2 linked regions of the Daphnia pulex genome follow. The protein of the gene in region 1 purifies or fractionates together with the protein of each later gene. This does not show direct contact. Links are inferred from orthologs where the notes say so. Each region holds a gene or a part of one and is shown on either strand. Other genes may lie near its edges. The genes, in order: E3 ubiquitin-protein ligase NEDD4-like and lipopolysaccharide-induced tumor necrosis factor-alpha factor homolog.

The links.
Region 2: the proteins of E3 ubiquitin-protein ligase NEDD4-like (region 1) and lipopolysaccharide-induced tumor necrosis factor-alpha factor homolog purify together in Homo sapiens (affinity purification with western blotting; 3 studies listed by BioGRID and IntAct, counting the BioPlex papers as one, with this or other methods). This does not show direct contact. The link is inferred for Daphnia pulex from reciprocal best matches to the Homo sapiens genes NEDD4L and LITAF.

Annotation. Positions count from the first base shown.
Region 1 is NC_060022.1:1,845,594-1,848,599, reverse strand, and holds the end of E3 ubiquitin-protein ligase NEDD4-like, read right to left. Parts: coding exon 2,914-3,006; intron 2,833-2,913; coding exon 2,603-2,832; intron 2,544-2,602; coding exon 2,181-2,543; intron 2,119-2,180; coding exon 1,890-2,118; intron 1,814-1,889; coding exon 1,644-1,813; intron 1,560-1,643; coding exon 1,457-1,559; 3' UTR 802-1,456; downstream 1-801. UniProt on the Homo sapiens protein: E3 ubiquitin-protein ligase that mediates the polyubiquitination of lysine and cysteine residues on target proteins and is thereby implicated in the regulation of various signaling pathways including autophagy, innate immunity or DNA repair.
Region 2 is NC_060026.1:14,698,538-14,701,265, reverse strand, and holds lipopolysaccharide-induced tumor necrosis factor-alpha factor homolog, read left to right. Parts: upstream 1-899; 5' UTR 900-1,047; intron 1,048-1,174; coding exon 1,175-1,268; intron 1,269-1,350; coding exon 1,351-1,418; intron 1,419-1,479; coding exon 1,480-1,574; intron 1,575-1,640; coding exon 1,641-1,749; 3' UTR 1,750-2,032; downstream 2,033-2,728. Other genes in the region: cell cycle checkpoint control protein RAD9A-like, read right to left, coding at 1-128, 188-411, 482-515; uncharacterized protein LOC124203995, read right to left, coding at 2,414-2,516, 2,583-2,728.

The sequences.
Region 1 (3,006 bases):
TATCGCCGAGTCACGTACCTTTGCTGTAAATTTGAACATTGCCCTTCTTAATCGTCATATCCTGGAGAGACTGATTACGAATAGATCGACTATAATTGTTGGTACATCAGACGATTTCCTAAATCTGAATAAAAATAAAATTATTATTTTGTAGGAACTTTAAGTCATTATGCACTCTAAAACAATTTACCTGCAATTCATAATAGAACACATGGTGCAAAGAGCCACAAAATGAAGGAACAACAGACATTTGATTATTCATCACGATCATGGTGGCTATTATTCCGCATTGCTGGGTTTGAATGAATCAGCGAAATTAAAAACGTTTAAACAGTTTTTAAAAAAAGAGAAAAAAAAAATCCACAACTCGTCGTTTATGCACGGACAGTAATGCAATCCGCCACCATATGGTTTTACACCATATGCATTTTATAAACGGGCAAAAAAACATTTTATGATGTCGAATCCAACACCCGTTCCGGTAATTATCTAGTTCTACATCAAAGCACTTTTTTTAATCAACAAATTTGGGAGGAGTCGAAAGAAAATGGAGCGAGTGCCATTACGTATTGAGTAAATAGCTCTCATGTATTGAATTTGGGAAGGTTTTTGTTTTCACTGACACACAAAGGAGGAAAGGGATGTTATTGCTGCAAAAAAATAAATGGTAAAACTTTTTTTTGGGCAAAAAAAAAAAAAAATCGTTGGATTTAAAGAGACAAATAATTTTTTTTTCGTTGACCGGGAAAGAAGTTATTTTAAAAAAAAAGAAAAAAAAATTAATAATTAAAGAAGAGGGTATAGACTGTATAATAATATGTATCACACTGTGTAGAATAGTCGCGACAAACGAGAAAAAATTGTAACACAAAACACGCAGGCAATTGTCGGGATTAAATCGACGCGACGGGGAAAAGAATAGATGATGTTATGGTGTTGGTTAATAATATTGCAACGATTTTACCGAATATGGGTCGAATGGGAAGTAGAAAAACGCAATGAAATTGCTTCCACCTTCATCTACACTTTCCTCAAGTGATGCAAGAAATGGCAAAAGTCGAACCCCCCGAAATCAAACTCCATCAGCACCCTGTTCATGACAAATGATCCAGGCCATGTCGGAGTAACAAATGTTTTCCATAGTTTAAAAGTAAGAGTTAAAGAGAAAGATAGAGAGAAATATACCAACTGTACACTACCCAAGGAAGGGGAGAAAAAGGGAAGGTAAATAAAGAGAGTACACGGCGTCTCCATAGGCATCGTGAACAAAGAGGATCGTTTTCGAGGCATAAGACAGAAATCGATTATACGACACGCACCGTTGGTGGAATGAATGATCTTACACAACTTACAGTGGTAGGGAAAGAGAATAAGAATGATAAGAAAGAAGAGAAATCTCTACAGGAAAAACACACGCAAACAAGAAATCTTTTTTTTTTAAAGATTATCGGCACGTTTAATCTACGCCGGCGAAGCCCTCAGATCCTTCGATGGCTTTGATCAGTTTATCTCTTAGCTGTTGGTAACTCTCGTAAGGTGGCAAGTCCAAACGATTGAAACTATTGACAACAGGAAAACAGAATCCATCGTCAAAAATCTTGCACGGTCTTTCGTTTCGCAAAGGAATGAAAAATGCAACTTACCAAGTGTGAGCACGGGGGAAGTTATTTGGCGTGCCCCATTTCTCGATGGTAAACGGCTGTGGGCCATTGCTGCCGTACAGCTCTTTGAATCCATTCATGGGAACACGTGATGTCCCCGTAACAAACTGCAAGACTCGAGAACGCATTTCGGGATTGAACGATAAAACCACCTAAAAAAAGGAGAAATATTCGAATTGAGGTTTCGACGATGTCGATAAAACAACTTCAAGAAAAGACGAGACTTACCCTCCAAAACCATTGCACTACCATGTGGTTGGCATTGTAATCCCCCTTGTAATTGGTGTGTTCTCTCCAATCTTTGACATCAATGGTACCAATACCACACATCAATAATTCGAGCTCATTTTCATCGAAGATCTTGAGCATCGACAAAGGAATCAAGTCCTTGAAACCGTCGAGGAAGGCACGCATCTGAGCTTCAACGCGGGACACGAACCTCCATTGGATCACCAAACTAGAGAGCAAAACATTGGTAGATCATCGCTGGAACAAATAATTTAACTTAAATAAACTTACTTGATGTATTCATGTTTATTGTCATTGGTGACAGGAATGTTGGTCCCGTTAGGCTTCAGCTCGCGCTGGATTGTTTTGCCAAAGCTTTCTTCGTCGACAGCAAAATTTAAATCCAACTCGCTTGGATCGTTCTCTTTGATCCAAACAAGAGAGTTGAAGTACTCAGTATCGACAGACTCCATATCTTTCAGTTCGATGGGCTTTTCCAACATCATTTTATAAAATGGGCGAATGAAAAAGCCGTCAAGCAATTTGCCGTGATAAACTGCCATGCCAGCAACTCGACCGATGAATTTGAAATAAGACAGATGGTCTTCGGTACACAATCCAGACATTGGGTTGATTTGCAGCGTGTAATTGTCCCTGTAGGCAAAAGTAAATGAATAAGTTGAAGTTGCAAGCAATTTAAATTGGAGACTTACATAGCAGAATATTCAAACAGGCCGTAGTATGGGTTGAACATTTCTTTAGAGAGAAGAAAGAACCATTCACGAGCAACACCGCCGTAATCGAGTCCGACTTCACCGTCAAATTCTACCCAAAGTTTCGTCTTGAGCAGCTCCGGTCGGGCGACAGTGTTGATAATTCGATACGAATCTTCCAGTATAGAGGCTCGATGAACTTTAATTTCAAACTTGTTTGGAATGTTGGCCTGTAACAAGCGGAAAAAACAAAAAAACAATTAAACCTAAGAACGCAATCAACAATAGATTGTAGGCATTTAATATATTACTGGTTTCTTAAGTTGCGACTTGAAGAAGTCGTACTTCCTTTTATAGTCACGTGAGTAAGGAACAGCCGGTCCAGCAATATTAGGGTTCGACAT
Region 2 (2,728 bases), on another chromosome or scaffold:
TACTTAACAATTCCATGTTTGCACCTGAACTCAATGATTAACAGAGCCTCAAGAAGTGGTAGCATTATCTTACATGTTTCAACTGATTTTTCCAAGCTTCCGATCGACCTAAATACAGACAAGATGGACTGGAAACAAAACATCATTGTAAACACACAATACTTCACATTAAAGTTATTTGTCAGACCTTCATGGGAAGTTTACATTTAATCACAGTATCTTCTTCTGGATCAGCGTGAACAGTATTTTCACTTATGTGCGTGTAGTCAAGAAAAAAAGGTAGGTGAAAATTGAAAGCTGAATAGGCAGATTTGGAAGCATTGACGGTCTTCAGAGTTAATCCATTTTCCATTGGTGAAATGTGCAATTCATCACCTATCTTAGCCAATGAGTGTATGGCTCGCGCCAAAACTAAAGAATAAAAGAAAGTGTTTTAGCTTTCAACTGCTTTAGTACAATCAAATGAAACATCATGTCGTACCCTTAACACTGGTTGCATCCAAAAGACATTTCATTTTTCTTTACTTCAATGTAAATTTAGTTGTTTGCACTAAAAAAAAATTCGAAATGCCGCCAGAAATTATATCGGTAACCCCATGTCCCGGATAACACGTTTAGAATGTTTAGCACGCAGACGACACGGAAATGAATTTTTTCAAGTATGCCCCGATTGGCTGTTGAGATTTTATCTTCACTGAAGATGTAAACAAATGAAACAAGTGACGAGCGTGACTCGTATTATTTCGGCCACATCTGCAAGTCACTGAAACTTGATTGTACTTTTAACCATAGATAAAGAAGACGGTCTTATCTGCTGAGGTACTTCAAGGAAATTTTTTTTCCCCTTGATTTATCAATGGTTTTCAATTATAACATTCTGAAACATTGGAAGACTTTCAATTACATCAGCTTTTCCGCTGTCCAATTCCTGCTGATTACATTCTGAAAAGTCATGGGGCGGAGCTTAAGAACAGCTGTGTAGTGTTAACTAGAGCACAGAGTGTAAACGTTTGTGAATAACTTACTTGTACTGCATGACTTTCTAAGGTAATAACAAATAAAATTTAAACTCTTTCATGATTCAGAATACAAAACATTGAAGTTAATGTTGGTCTGATATTCTGATTACCAATTTACCAATAATTCATTGGATTCTCCATAAACTATTTCACAGATGAGTAAACAAGGTCCTCCTCCAGCTGCCCCTCCTTCTTACATGGAAGCAGTGGGTGGTGTTAATCCATCAAGCCCCTTTACTCCTCATCAAAGTAAAGCATTTTTTTAGTATTTTAACTTTTAATGGGAAATGTGCCTCACATTCAAAATCACAATGTTTATCTCTTTTAATAGATGTAACCAACCAGCAGCCTATTATTGTGACAACCGTGATACCTGTTGGACCCGGAACAACACACACTGTTAGTTTTTCCCTCCACAGTTAATTATATATTTTATTTTCTCTATCTTCTTTCTTTACAGGTCTGTCCACATTGCCATGCTGAAATTGACACTTCTGTGCGTACTGAACCTGGTCTGATTGCCTGGCTTTCTGGAGGTCTTTTAGTTCTATTTGGGTATTACACAGTCAGCAATTTCTTAAGAGTTACACATTGATATAACACATATATTTTTATTACCAGATGTTGGTTGGGCTGTTGCCTTATCCCCTGCTGTATTCCTGAGTGCATGAATGTTCATCATGCTTGTCCAAATTGCAAAGCATACTTGGGGAGATACAGCCACTTTTAAGCTAATGTTCTTACTATGAAGAGGCAATTGGTTCTTTCTGTGTGTTAAATTTCATATTCATTTTTGGCAAATTTGGTTGTTGCATCTTGTATGCCAAAATTTACCTTTTTCCTAATTACACGAAGCTTTTCAATTTCAAAATTTCAAACAATAGAAATGCTGAACGTTGTATTATTCGTACCTTGCTTCAATATCTACTCCGCTTACTTATTAAAATCAAAGATACGCCGTGTTAATTTTATCACCAAAATTTATCAATGAATAAACTTCGAATATATTAAAATTGTCGTTTGTAATTTAAATTTTAAATTCATTGAAAAACGTTTTGTTCGACTGGGACAAAAAACCTATATTCCTTTTCTTAACTGAATTTTTTTAAATTAATTTGAATCTTGCAGTGCCGTAGTTTATTAATTATTTTTATGCTGCTCGTTAAATATATAGAAAATGTTATTCCTATGGAAAAAAGTTAAAAAAGAACCAAAACGATGCTTATTAAATGTTTCCCGCTATTTCATAGATACAAACAACATGGTTTTGGGGATTAACCTACCCATTAATAGAAGCGCAGTAAGAAACAAATGACAGGAAATGGTTGGATTTCTATCAAAGTATTTAATTATCATGACAGAAATAATCTTACAATATAAACAAAACGTAACTTTTATACATCCAAATCGCTTAATTTTCTAAAGTCCGTTTTTGTATCTCTCAGTGTTAGTTCTTGGCCAAGCCGAGTAATCGATTGCGACATCATATTCTGGCATCTAAAACAGAAAATAATTTATTTCGACCTAGACAAAGAGTTTTTTTTTTAAATAACGCAGACATACTCCTCCATGATTCCAATTTGCATAGCAGTAGTTCCGTTTAGATCAGAAATTACGCTTGCGGCTTTAATAAACTCATCAAACTTTTCCACCTGAATGTTATCGGATAGAGTTGTGCTGTTCTTAAAAACTTTGATCAATTCATCTGT